Callithrix jacchus: one gene and its partners. The protein of the gene in region 1 purifies or fractionates together with the protein of each later gene. This does not show direct contact. Links are inferred from orthologs where the notes say so. Each region holds a gene or a part of one and is shown in the gene's direction. Other genes may lie near its edges. The genes, in order: NFKB1, RPS3, NFKBIE and NFKBIB.

The links.
Region 2: the proteins of NFKB1 (region 1) and RPS3 purify together in Homo sapiens (affinity purification with western blotting; 3 studies listed by BioGRID and IntAct, with this or other methods). This does not show direct contact. The link is inferred for Callithrix jacchus from reciprocal best matches to the Homo sapiens genes NFKB1 and RPS3.
Region 3: the proteins of NFKB1 (region 1) and NFKBIE purify together in Homo sapiens (affinity purification with mass spectrometry; 4 studies listed by BioGRID and IntAct, with this or other methods). This does not show direct contact. The link is inferred for Callithrix jacchus from reciprocal best matches to the Homo sapiens genes NFKB1 and NFKBIE.
Region 4: the proteins of NFKB1 (region 1) and NFKBIB purify together in Homo sapiens (affinity purification with mass spectrometry; 7 studies listed by BioGRID and IntAct, counting the BioPlex papers as one, with this or other methods). This does not show direct contact. The link is inferred for Callithrix jacchus from reciprocal best matches to the Homo sapiens genes NFKB1 and NFKBIB.

Annotation. Positions count from the first base shown.
Region 1 is NC_133504.1:94,736,525-94,740,239, reverse strand, and holds part of NFKB1 (nuclear factor NF-kappa-B p105 subunit), read left to right. Parts: intron 1-308; coding exon 309-503; intron 504-1,684; coding exon 1,685-1,826; intron 1,827-3,715.
Region 2 is NC_133511.1:65,551,240-65,555,427, reverse strand, and holds the start of RPS3 (small ribosomal subunit protein uS3), read left to right. Parts: upstream 1-1,327; 5' UTR 1,328-1,357; coding exon 1,358-1,387; intron 1,388-2,531; exon of another isoform or gene 2,532-2,679; intron 2,680-2,830; coding exon 2,831-2,961; intron 2,962-3,252; coding exon 3,253-3,346; intron 3,347-3,936; coding exon 3,937-4,031; intron 4,032-4,188. UniProt on the Homo sapiens protein: Component of the small ribosomal subunit. The ribosome is a large ribonucleoprotein complex responsible for the synthesis of proteins in the cell. Has endonuclease activity and plays a role in repair of damaged DNA.
Region 3 is NC_133505.1:52,723,077-52,725,716, reverse strand, and holds the end of NFKBIE (NF-kappa-B inhibitor epsilon), read left to right. Parts: coding exon 1-140; intron 141-893; coding exon 894-959; 3' UTR 960-1,961; downstream 1,962-2,640. UniProt on the Homo sapiens protein: Sequesters NF-kappa-B transcription factor complexes in the cytoplasm, thereby inhibiting their activity. Sequestered complexes include NFKB1-RELA (p50-p65) and NFKB1-REL (p50-c-Rel) complexes.
Region 4 is NC_133523.1:34,465,310-34,468,268, forward strand, and holds the end of NFKBIB (NF-kappa-B inhibitor beta), read left to right. Parts: intron 1-704; coding exon 705-793; intron 794-880; coding exon 881-1,141; intron 1,142-2,161; coding exon 2,162-2,263; 3' UTR 2,264-2,327; downstream 2,328-2,959. Other genes in the region: CCER2 (coiled-coil domain-containing glutamate-rich protein 2), read right to left, coding at 2,641-2,736. UniProt on the Homo sapiens protein: Inhibits NF-kappa-B by complexing with and trapping it in the cytoplasm.

The DNA of each region.
Region 1 (3,715 bases):
ACTTTAAAAATTCAGCTTTCCTGAAATTCACAGAAGAGCTTTATTTCATTTTTCTTCTTTACAAATAAGCAAAATGAGATCTAAGATTTCAGAAGTAGACTGAAAAGTTATTTTTAGGAATGAGAGTTTAGAATATCACCAAAACATGGAATTTATGATACGGCCATTTTTTTTAAAGAATTTCAAATTATTTCTTTTCCCTTTTCAGCAAATTTGCTTCTAACCTTTATCTGACCTATGTTGGAATAGTGAATTGTCAATTGATATATTTTACTGAGAAAAAGCTGATGTTTTTGCATTTATCTTAGGAGCCATGGACAGTGAATCTAAAACGGACCCTGAAGGTTGTGACAAAAGTGATGATAGAGACACTGTAAACCTCTGTAGAAAAGTCACTGAAACCACAGAGCAGGATCAGGAGCCCAGCAAGGCCACTGATGGGAATGGTGAGGTCACTCTAACGTATGCAACAGGAACCAAAGAAGAGAATGCTGAGGTTCAGGGTAAGTGAGCACACAAGTTACGTTCTGTTGGTTAGCTAGGGAGGGGTCAGTCCCAGGTATAGAAATATATCTGCTAATCTAAAGATGATGTATCAATTTCTAGTTCAGTGTACTCTTCAAAGTTATGTATGCCTTTTTAAAAGCATGTGTCAGATCATTTTATTCACACTGGAAATTCCATTTTTGCTGTTATCTTTGAATATACAGAAATTTACATGTACATTCTCCAGTCATATTCATGCAGTTTTAGGGTATTGTGAGAGACAATCAACTTCTTTTCTGGCACAGATAAATAGAGAAGTATTTCCATAACCTTAATAGTCACCCTCTCTAGAATCTGGCTTAACCGTCATACTGAAGTAGAACTTTGCCTTAAAATAGGAACTTTTCTTTTCATCTTGTTGCCTTCTTTGAAGGAGGAGGATTAAGAGAAAATGTACTTTTGCATTTACTCTGAACCAGTACTTATTAGCATATGTGTCATGATTCTAGATCATCCTAGATGGTACTAAGAAGACTCCTGTAAAAGGAAAGGTAGTAAATATTTAGAGTTGGTGGCCACATTTGGTGTCTGTCACATATTCTTTTTTCTTTTACACCCCTTTAAAAATGTACAAGCCATGATTAGCTAGGAAGCCATATGAAAAGCAGGTCGTAAACAGGTTTTGGCCCAAAGGTCACAATTCTCTAACCTTAATGGAACAAACTTTACAAAATCATGAGTGTCTCATTGAAAGTTTCTATTTATAGCAGAGATGTGTGTTTTTCCACACATTGCCTAACAAGCTAATTGTTAGAGATTCCAATGAAGGATTATTTCACCAAGAGATGTGGTGATTTAAAATTACAGTAAAATCTAACATTATTTGGAGATTGTTTTCCTTAAAATAACAGACATTAATTGTTCACCTTAAAATAACAGACATCTCTAAATTTTTTTCCTTTAACAAACTATACACAGATTCTTTAAGATCAATCTCTAACAATATTTGTCACTGACCCAATGTCCAATTCTGCTTTTTCTAATCAACACAATCCAAAAGCATTGAAAGGAGCATTTTCAACTAAAGTGATGTGTCAAGGTGTCAGAACACCGATGCTGGTCAGTCTGGCCTCAAGCATGCCTTGCTGTTAGAACAAAAGAAGGAAACTCAGCTGTGATTGTGGTCATTGCCTTACAGATAACCTCTTTCTAGAGAAGGCTATGCAGCTTGCGAAGAGGCATGCCAATGCCCTTTTCGACTATGCAGTGACAGGAGATGTGAAGATGTTGCTGGCTGTCCAGCGCCATCTCACTGCTGTGCAGGATGAGAATGGGGACAGGTAAGTCAGGACTTTTGTATGATGGGCTGTTTTGGGCAGGGAAGAAGAGCATTTTATAAATGTATACAGATGAGAGATAAAAAAATAACTTTTCAAATGTATTGAGTCCTCTAACTGGAACAATCAAGAAAACTAATGTGTACGGTAACCAGAGCAAAATTTGCTGCTCCATCCTGCTGTCACCTGTTGGAATCTGTAATAGTTGGAGGACTCATCTAAGAGTGAATCTCTCTGGGCAAGAAAACTAAGATGTGTGTAGGTAATGGTACTTTTTAAAAAGACTTGCTTTGTTTATTGAAATAATAACAAGTCCTACCAAATCCCTGAAGCATTGTTATCCCAGCTGCGTTTTTATAATGACAGTGTACTCAAGAAAGAGCTCAATAAAGGCAGCAACAACGAATACTTAAGAGGGACTGGTTCTTCTTTCCCAGTTACTGGTTTCTTCTCTACTCCATCTGCTAATGGTCACCAGTCTGAGACTGGTTCAGACTTCTGTGACTGCTCCAGCCCGTGTGTGGGAGTGGAGCATTCCAGATACCATGCCTTCCATTCCTGCTAGTACTGAGATTGTATTTGCAAAGCCACCTGGCTTCTTTCTAAAACAGTTCTCTTAGTCCTTTCATTGAGACTTCTGAAATGATCTCAAAAGCCTATAAAAATAACAAGAGACAGCAGCCTTCACATTCAAGTCAAGTGCCTTATCTAGAAGCTTCCTAAAATAGCATCAACACAGATAAATCCTTTTCTGTGGAAGAGCTCTTGAGTGCTGTGTTTTAGACCTCAGTTTAAAAAGTAAACCAAGCACTTAAGGAAAGTAACAACCTCAGGGTTTCAAACAGAGAGACCTTTGTTCTCATTCCTTGCAATGTAACCAAGGATGTGGTATAACCACTGGCCTTGTTATACAGTATGAGAGGAACCAGTACAACCTTTTTGGTATAAGGCCATGAACAACAGAATGCTTTTTCAGGGTTAAATAATCCAGTTAGCATTCAGTCACGCACAACCACAAGAAAAAGCAGTTAACCAAGACAAGACAGCAGTGTTTCAAGTGACATTTCCAGAGACCCATTGAATTGATAAGTCTAAGAATATGAGCACATACAGGTTGGAAAGGAAGTGCTGATATCTGAAGGGAGGATTCTAGGAAGGGATAAAAGGCGAGGCGCATGCAAGTTCCCTCCTAAGACCCAAGCACACTCACACAGGCAGGCTCTCAGAGAGACCACAGAGGTGGGACTTGGAGAGACTAAAGGATCCTCATAGGAGCATAGGTAAAGGACAGATTTTGGCCATCACAGCCCAAGTCTTTTGTTTTTTTTTCCACAGCAATTTATTGTGTATTTCAAAATAGCTAGAAGACAAGATATGAAATGTTCTCAAACACAGAGAAAAGATAAATATTTGAGGTGATGAATATCCTAAGTACCCTGATTTGATTATTGCACATTGTATGTATCAAAATATCACATGTGCCCCATAAATATGTAAAGTTATAATGTATCAATAAAAAATTTTTAAAGATTAAGATGGCACATTATACATTTTGGGTTTTTGGCAAGTCTCTTCTTTTAATTCACCTTGTCATATTTGGCTAATAGTCTGAATCCTGTGGCCATTAGTCATCATAGAAAATACAATAAAAATATATATATATAAAACTTCTGGTACTGGGGAAATTCCCATAAGGGTGTGAGGATTTGAGGGGGAGGGGGATTGTACTTCTGCTATGAAATGCTGAGCTGCACATGGAAATTTTCGGGCAGTTTTAGAAGTATGACCTTTTTCTTAGTATATGTGCATCATGTCTGTGTCATTTGAGGCCCTTTTCAGAAGTTTTCTTCTAGTATCACATTTCAAGAAGCAATAGTGAAACCCTGAGATCA
Region 2 (4,188 bases), on another chromosome or scaffold:
GCTCCTATAGAACTCTGTTAATTTCATGATTATAGGTCAGGTCAGAGTTGTTTTAGTATTGGAGTTATTAAACACTCCAGTGGCTTCTAGGACCAGAAAACAATCGAGTGGTGCTGCCAGGGAGTGTGGCACATTGGAAAGCCTCTTTTTAGCCGGGCGTGGTGGCTCATGCTTGTAATCCCAGCACTCTGGGAAGCCAAGGCGAGTGGATCACTTGAGGGCAGGAGTTGGAGATCAGCCTGGCCAACATAGTAAAACCCCGTCTCTACTAGAAATACAAAAATTAGCTGGGCATGGTGGCATATGCCTGTAATTCCATCTACTTGGGAGGCTGAGGCAGAAGAATTGCTTGGAACCCAGGAGGCGGAGGTTGCAGTGAGCTGAGATTGTACCACTGCACGCCAGCCTGGGCAACAGGAGAGAAAAAGAAAGACAAAGAGGAGGGGAGGGAAGGGAGGAGAGAGAGAAAGAAAGGAGAGAGAGAGAAAGAAAGAGAGAAAGATAGAAATGCACACATGAGCCACCCTCTGGGACTTCCGTTACAAACTATAATGGACTTGATGAAAGCAAGGTGGGGTAAATGAGAACAAAAAGGACACGGAACACAGTCCCTAGGATGCTTAGTAAATATCAGGTTTTATTATTATCATTTGGAACGGAGGAAAGGGGCACTGACTGGGGACATGAGGTTTTGTTGTTGTTGTCGTTGTTTTGAGACAGTCTCACTCTGTCGCCCAGACTGGAGTGTAGTAGTGCGATCTCGGCCCACTGCAACCTCCGCCTCCACGGCGCAGGCAACTCTCCCACCTCAGTCTCCCGAGTAGCTGGGATTACAGGCACCCGGCACCACTCTAATTTTTGTATTTTTAGTAGAGACGGGGTTTCACCATGTTCGCCAGGCCAATCTCGAACTCCTGATCTCAAGTGATCCGCCTGCCTTGGCCTCCCAAAGAGGAGTCTTAAATGAGTTTCACTGAGGGCTTTCAGCAAATTTTCATTACAGTGTCGACCCATAGGGGTCAGAGTTCCACGCTGGTTAAACTCTTGCTGTGTGAACTTATACCTGTAATTTCCACCTCTGCACCTCACATTGCTTGTTTTTAAACTAAGTTAATTTGATATCTAAGTTCCCCTGCATTTTAGAAGTCCTGCTGGATGAACCCCCTTTCTTGTTTCTGCCTGCAGAGATACCAACACTCTTCTTTCCCCAGACGCCTTCTACGTAAACACTACATTTCCCATGAACACCCACAGGCGTCCACGTAGCGCCGCCGTAGGTCGTCGCTCGCGCCCTTTTACCCATTTCCGCCCGAGAGCCATTTCCTTTCCTTTCCTTTCGGCGGAGTGTGGCGGCAAGATGGCTGTGCAAATTTCTAAAAAGAGGAAGGTGAGTCTCTGGGGCCTGTGCTTGGGAAATGATGGCGCCACGCGGGTCAAGGGCTTCCCGAGGTGCCACCGCGAGGCCTGCGGCTCTGTGCCCTGCCCTAGGAAGCGGTTGAGGCCGCCTGGCGTTCCTGCGGGCCGCAGATCCAGGTGGATTGAGTGAGAGGCCCGAGCCAGGCGAGCATTGTGAGGCCGGGAAAGGGAGAGAACCATATTTTTCCGGTTCTGAGTGAAGCTCAGAGAGATGGGCACCAGGCGCCTCTTCTGTCCCGGAGAAGGCGTTTGTGAGCATTTTTTGGTCCACCTAATTAAACACATGAGGGCGTGTGTCATTTCCCTCATGTGTTACCCCGTGGTTTTGGGAAGGGGAAGGTTTCTTACCTTCTTACTGGTCGTGTTTGGGTGCAATCTGCTGGCCCCCAAATCTCAACTGAAGAGTTACTGACGGTAGCTTGTTCCGTCTGAGGACCCCGGGAGGAAGCTGCCTCGGATTTAACGTCTTATCATTCCACGAGAAAAAACTGTAAAAATCATTAGCTTTAAAAATAGACGGTTTGAGGCCGGGCGCGGTGGCTCACGCCTATAATCCCAGCACTTTGGGAGGCTGAGGCGGGTGGATCACGAGGTCAAGAGATCGAGACCATCCTGGTCAACAAGGTGAAACCCTGTCTCTACTAAAAATACAAAAATTAGCTGGGCATGGTGGCGCACGCCTGTAGTCCCAGCTACTCAGGAGGCTGAGGCAGGAGAATTGCTTGAACCCAGGAGGCGGAGGTTGCGGCGAGCCGAGATCGCGCCATTGCACTTCAGCCTGGGTAATGAGCGAAATTCCGTCTCAAAAAAAAAAATAGACGGTTTGTCATTTTGTATATGAACACTTCGATGTTAAAATTAAGTCCACGACTCTGAGTTAGGATTTGCCAGCTCTGTTTACAGTTAAATCAGCAGGTACTGTAAGGCCAGATAACATGGCTGGGATTCTTTAGACGGTCCAGATTTTGTCTACAAGTGGGACGGCTTCTATATTATTAAGTCCACACTCTCTTCCTTCACGGTGAGAAGTACAGTGTCTTTGCTGTGCTGAGCGAAATGTAAATGGGCCATTTTAGAGCAGTTTCGTGTTTTTGCACGTGGAACTGTTTTAAACCCTTCGATGAAGAGATGATGACGAGTCTGACTTGGGGGTGTTCCCTTTGCCCAGGTGGCCTACTCTGTGCTGCGTTCTGTGGCACTGTTTAAAGGGCCCTGGCTGAAGTAACTTCCTAAAGATGACCTAGAGGCATTTGCCTGAGAAGGGTTGCTGCACTCCTGTTGAAACAAGGGTTTGGAATCATTAGTTGGAGGTAGTTTTGGTGAGGAATGCATTGACTAGTAAGACTAGACTGGCTCAGATGACAGTGAACCTACACCGATGTCCTAATTTTGAACTTCACTTTTTTTGGGTTAGTTTGTCGCTGATGGCATCTTCAAAGCCGAACTGAATGAGTTTCTTACTCGGGAGCTGGCTGAAGATGGCTATTCCGGAGTTGAGGTCCGAGTTACACCAACCAGGACAGAAATCATCATCTTAGCCACCAGGTAAAACCCACTTGACTGCCCATCTATGTAAATGCTAAGTTGGTTTATTCTCTGTGAACTTAAGGTACAAACAACTAATGAATCTGGGCTTAGTGAATATAACTGCTTCTTAAAAGCTGCATTTTAAGGCCAGGTGTAGGATTGCAACTGCATTTTTAAAATTTAACTTTTGTTTTTGTTAAAAAATTTTATGCTTTGTGGCAGAGATTTTTTGCTACCACACATGTATGCAAGATTTAAAGTTACATCTAGCATTGTAAGAGTCATGAATTGTCACCTTTCCCCCCCCAGAACACAGAATGTTCTTGGTGAGAAGGGCCGGCGGATTCGGGAGCTGACTGCTGTAGTTCAGAAAAGGTTTGGCTTTCCAGAGGGCAGTGTAGAGGTGAGTGATTCTGGCATGCCAGAGAAAGATGGCTCTTCAGAATACTTCTAAAAAACTTTCAATTTGGAGACTTTATTTGTTCATTACAAATGGACTGGTAAAATGTTGAAATTCTCTTAATGAATAATGAGCTTAACTTTGTAAGCCTATTCTGCTAACGAATGGTGGTTAAAGGATTTTACGTTCAACTTGGGCATATGATGGCTTGACTGTCCGCACTGGTGTCCTTGGTGTGGCTAAAGGAGCCAGGGCGGGAGGGCAAGGAACCTGCACTGTGTGTAGGTGGTAGAAGTGCTTTAGGAATTGAGGGATACTGAAATGATATGCTATATGTGATGGTGGTGTCCAATCTTTTGGCTTCCCTAGGCCACATTGGAAGAATTGTCTTGGGCCACACTAATGATAGCACAAAAAATCATGATGTTGAATTTGTGTTGGGTCACATTCAAAGCTGTCCGGGGCTGCATGTGGCCCGTGGGTTGGACGAGTTTGGTGTAGAAAGTGATGCCTGTATGACAAATGTCAGATTTTCAACTTTCAGTTGAAAACAGTGGTGAATGGTAACACAATGTCCCTTGCTTCCTTTAAAGCTTTATGCTGAAAAGGTGGCCACTAGAGGTCTGTGCGCAATTGCTCAGGCAGAGTCTCTGCGTTACAAACTCCTAGGAGGGCTTGCTGTGCGCAGGTAAGTATCCTGAGACCTAATGGTACTGACGTTTGTGTGTATCAAAATATATGTCTGCCATTTGTTAATTTAGCAGATGAACTGTTACAAAGTGACAGCATCTGGTAATCTCCTGTGATTATAGGGTACTAAGCCATGCCTTCACTGAACTGGCAGA
Region 3 (2,640 bases), on another chromosome or scaffold:
GCATGCTGAACGGGTGCACACCCCTGCACCTGGCAGCTGGCCGGGGCCTCATGGGCATCTCATCCACTCTGTGCAAGGCGGGTGCTGACTCCCTGCTGCGGAACGTGGAGGATGAGACACCCCAGGACCTGACTGAGGAAGTAAGAGACATATGCTTTGCTCTCCAGGGCCTTGCACACCCATGGCAGAGCGAGGTGTTGTCATTAGCTGAAAGGGCCACAGAGCAAGGAGTCCTGGGTTATAACGAGGACTCTGCCACTGACCAACTGTGGGAACTTGAGCCTGTTTTCTTAGTTGGTCATGACCAGGGAGCCAACTTTGGACTCCTACAGAGACCCTGCAGTTAACGTGAATCAGTGAAGATGGCCAGGTATGCGACCATGGTGTGGTGAGGCCTGTAGGAACTCAGAGAGCCATCCCTGAGGGTCTCTGTACTCAGCTTCAGCAAAAGCTTACAGAGCAGGAGTGTAGGCCCAGTTTTTCCCGGTCTTGGAATTTTTTGAGAGGTGAAACCCAGGTTTTCTGTATAGTCTTTCCTATTTTTAAATGTTCAGTGTAAAAAAGAAACCCAAAATTTTCTCCGAGTACCCAGCCTCCCCCACCCCCACAACAACAAAAAACCAGGTCCGTGGGCGGGATCATCTCTAAGGTCCCTCCTAACTCCGGATATTCTGGCGTTATCTTAGAAAAGGGAGGCTCACCTATGTCCTCAGGGCTCTGCCAAGCCTAGAGAGGCTACTACTTTGAAGATTCGTATGGAGATTTGTTCTCCGATGGTCTTCAACTGTCATTTGGTGGGGAGGGAGTGGCCCAACAGGTTTCCCTGGGTCCCCTTTCCCAAGTCACCTTTTCTCATGTCCTCTGATCTTGCTTCTCTCTGTTCTCCTTCTCAGTCCCTTGTCCTTTTGCCTTTCGATGACCTGAAGATCTCAGGGAAACTGCTGCTGTGTACCGACTGAAGCCAGGAAGGGTCTGAAATCTTCAGGGCTCAACCTCTTTCTCTATCTGGAAGCTGAAGTCATCACTGCTGCAGTTTGGGCCCAGGCTGTGTGCTCTTCTGGTGCCCTAGGGACTGCTATGGCCAGAGCCTGGGGCCAGCCAGTACAGTCCTGAGCTGAGAAGGAGGAACTGCAAGTGAGAGAGAGCCAGTCTGGAAGGAGGAACTTTCCAGATGGACAGGGATTCTTGGAAGACCCCCAAAGCCCCAGGTATCCTGGGTGAAGCCTGTTTGCCTCTCTTGAAAATGGCAGGTGCTCTTGTTTCTACCCATGTTGGGTCAGCCGGAAACTGTCAATCAGTAGGAAACATGGTGGACTCTCCTGAGTGAGAAGAGACAGAAATAGGAGCAAGCTGAACTCTGAGGGGGGTCCTGTCTTACTGCTGTTGAGGACCCTGAAACACTTGACTTCACAGAGAAGGCTCTGAACTGAGCGACTGGGGAAGGGAAGTTTCAGTAACATGACACTAAAATGGCAGAGATGTTAAAAAAGTTTTTCCCTTCTAGCGCTGTTTTGTGCGCATGCATGTCTGTGTGCATTGGGGCTGTTTAGACAGGCCTGCCCTATGACTTTGTGATGAAGGCAGAGAGAATGCAATTGTCCCCTGAGCACGATAGGACCTTGCTGGGTGGGGTCAGAGGCCACTAGTCCCCAGGCCTTTCTCTGTGTCCAGCATAGATCCTTGTCCTTGCTGTGGAAATGATGAGGGATGGAGGGAGAGGAGGAAGAATGAGAAGACACAGGCCCTGGAGCCCTCCCTACTGCCCTGGGCACTGCCATCTGGAGGAACAAGGGTAGCCCAGGGTGACTGGGCACAAGGGAGCTGTGACTTCATATTTTTCTTCCCATTCTTCACCTTCCAGGGCCTGGCTAGGTTGGTCCTATGCTGGTCCTTCTCAGCCAGTGAGAGAGACAGCTGTTAAAAGCGTAATCATCCAAATAAAGATGTCCTTACAAGTTGCAGTAGGTGCTGTGAAGGGAAAGAATAGTGGGAAGGAAAAGGATGGAGTCGGGAGAAGGCCATGCTTTGGGTTGCCCGGGAACCCCCGCCTGAGGAGTGTCATTTCAACTGGGATGTAATGATGAGTAAAGGGATGAGGGCAGAGCATTTGGGGGAAAGCCTTGAGTGAATTAGAAGAACTGAGAGCAGGTCAGTGGGGCTCCACAGCGCGTGGGTGAGTGGGCGAGGAACGCGGGCAAGGCCATGTAGAGGTCATGAGAAGTGGGGGGACAGGATTACTGCCCAGACAAAAAAGGAAGGAGACACCATCCTTTCGGAAAACGGGGAAACTGTAACACAGAGGAGGGGCTTGGGATGCAGAGCCTCAATGTCTCCGGTCCACAAGATGGCAATGGTCACCATGACCTCTGGGACGCTTATGAAGGCCAAGGGCAATGACGAAGCACAGGGGACGCGCCAAGCTGGCGCCTCTCCAGGGCTGGGGCTCCCCGCGCCCAGGGGTAGCCCAGCTCCCCGGAATCCGAGCCGCATCTGCCTCCAGGCCGCGCGGGGGCGCTGTGGCCCGGCGGCGGCCCGGGGCGCTGCGTGGTCGCGGCAGGGGCGGAGGGGGCCGCGGGGAGGGAGGCGGGAAGAGCGCGGCACTTCCGCTGGCCGCTGGCTCGCTGGCCGCTCCTGGAGGCG
Region 4 (2,959 bases), on another chromosome or scaffold:
CCCTCCTCAGATGGACTGAGGTCGTTCAGGACCCATTGTTAAGGGCCTGCATCTCACCCCCAGATCACAGGCTTTTCAGCCACTTGGTAGCCCCCCCTTTTTTTTTTTTTTTTTTTTTTTTTTTTGAGTCGGAGTCCCACTCTCCACCAGGCTGGAGTGCAGTGGTGTGATTTCAGCTCACTGCACCCTCCACCTCCTGGGTTCAAGCAATTCTCCTGCCTCAGCCTCCGGAGTAGCTGGGACTATAGGTGCCTGCCACCACACCCGGCTAATTTGTGGATTTACTAGAGATGGAGTTTCACCATGTTGGCCAGGATGGTCTCGATCTCCTGACCTTGTGATCTGCCTGCTTTGGCCTCTCAAAGTGTTGGGATTACAGGCATGAGCCAGCGCACCAGCTCAGGTCCTTTGTGAATTAAGAGCAGAGACTTAGGTCTCCTGGCCCCAACATCCCAGCCCCCCATCCACAGACCCCAGGCTCTTCACCCATGAGCCCCAGGCTTCTCAAAGCCCAGGCTCTAGCACTTGCCGGCAAGCTAAGGCCATCCGACACACACATTTAGGACCCAGGTACCTCTTTGACATACCCAAAGGTTCAGGAACCAGCCCCACACCTGATCACCCTCAGGCCACGTGGTCCTCCCCCAGGATCAAAGCATGGGGGACCCCTCACCCCATCATCTGATGCGTCACTCTGTCCCCAGGCCACACCCCACTCCACGTGGCTGTTATCCACAAAGATGCAGAGATGGTCCAGCTGCTCCGAGATGCCGGAGCTGACCTCAACAAACCGGTGAGCACCACCCTGGGGGAAGCTGCTGTCGTCAGGAGGGGGCTGGTCCCCTCCTTGGGCCCTCTGACCCTTCTGCTGCACCCACAGGAGCCCACGTGTGGCCGGAGCCCCCTGCACTTGGCAGTGGAGGCCCAGGCGGCCGATGTACTAGAGCTTCTCCTGAGGGCAGGTGCCAACCCTGCTGCCCACATGTACGGTGGCTGCACTCCCCTGGGCAGTGCCATGCTCCGGCCCAACCCCATCCTTGCCCGCCTCCTCCGTCAACACGGAGCCCCTGAGCCTGAGGACGAGGACGACAGACCCGGCCCCTGGAGCAGCAGTAGCGACAGCGACAGCGGAGATGAGGGCGTGAGTCAGGAGGCGAGACAGGGCTGCCCAGCTGGGGGGTCAGGGTAGACCGGCAGGCAGGAAGCAGGAGAAGATAATTAGGTGCACGTGGAGACCGACCTTGGGCTGCTGCTGCTGGAGAACTCAGGCAGGTGGCAGCACCAGTGACATGGGGCACTAGTAAGAACAGACCTGGGTGGGGCGGTGGGAAGAGCTTGGGCAGACGTGGCTGAAAAGCTAAGGTGGTGGCAAAAGTAGAACTCAGCCAGAGTTGGAGAAAAGACCTTGGTCATAGTGAACACAGGCAGGGTGGGTGGCAGCGTCGGAGCTGGAGAATTCAGGTTATGAAAAGACAACCTTGGGTGGCAGTGATTTGAACACCAGCAGCGGTAGGGCAGGACCCAAGCCAGAGGTGGGAGAGATGTAGTCAGAGAACCCAGCAATACAGACCTGACCTTGGGCAAGGTGCGGGGCTGAATGACGGGCATGCAGTAATTCGGGTAAAGGCAGAGGGAAGGGGTGGAGGAGGGCCACCTTAGTTGCCAGAATGCTGGAGTGTCGGCTGGGCTAGAGCTCCGACTATAGAAGTAAATTTGAAAATGGAGTTCTGGCTGGGCACAGTGGCTCATGCCTGTAATCCCAGCACATTGGGAAGCCCAGGCAGGTGGATCACCTGGGGTCAGGAGTTCGAGACCAGCCTGACCAACATGGTGAAACCCCATCTCTACTAAAAATACAAAAATTAGCCTGGCGTGGTGGCGGGCACCTGTAATCCCAGCTACTTGAGAGGCTAAGATAGGAGAATTGCTTGAACCCGGGAGGCAGAAGTTGGAGTGAACCTAGATCGCGCCATTGCACTCCAGCCTGGGTAACAACAGCAAAACTCCGTCTCAAAAATAAATAAATAAAATAAAATAAAAATTAAAAAAAGGAAAATGGAGTTCTGAGAGCTAGGAGCAAGGGAATTTGGGGCAAGACACAATTCTTAGGCTGCTCTGTGAAGACATCTGAGCTCCTCTGCCTGGTCCCCTTTGCCCCCAGGATGAATACGACGACATTGTGGTTCACAGCGGCTGCTGCCAAACCCGGTTGCCTCCCACCCCAGCCTCGAAACCTCTTCCTAACGACCCCCGCCCTGTCTGATTCATTTGATTGTTAATATAATTTCCAATTTAATAAATAAAACCCCAATTCTGAAAACCAGAAACCAGACTGATCTCATCTTCCCGGTCCTCCAGGTCCTTCTGGGGCTCATCCCTGTCACATCACGGAGGCAGGGTGCTTTTCTTTGTGCTTTATTTACTCAGAAGGGTTGGAGTGGGAATGCATGGGGGTGGGGGTGCTTCGTGAGTCAGGGCTGACCCCAGCCCCCTGCTCAACTCAGGTGTGGTTCCAAGGCATGCCCATCTTCTCCCCTGCTCCAGTAGGGGTGTTGTGGGGTGCTGGTGAGGTGGAGGCTTCAGGGTCAACAGACCTAAGCCACAGGGTGTGTCGGGAGGAAGGAGGGCTCGAGGCAGGGGTCAGCCCTCCCTCCTGAGCTGCTGCTCCCCCAGCGTCTCCGTTACCTTCTTCAGTTCGTCTCTCAAGTGCTCCAGCCGCTCCACCTCCTGTTCCTGCTGGGGTCAGAAAGGTGGTGGTCAGCACCCACCTTCAAAGACAGGCCATCGCAGTCACTGTGAACGTGGGCCATGCCGGTTCTCACAGTGGCAGCCAGCAGCAGTCGTTCTGATCACCGTGGACCGTGATGGTGACCATGCTGACCACCATAACCCTGGAAGAGCAGTAGTGGCTAATGTGACCACAGCCAACAGCAGCGGCATGGGACGGGCAAAGGTGCCT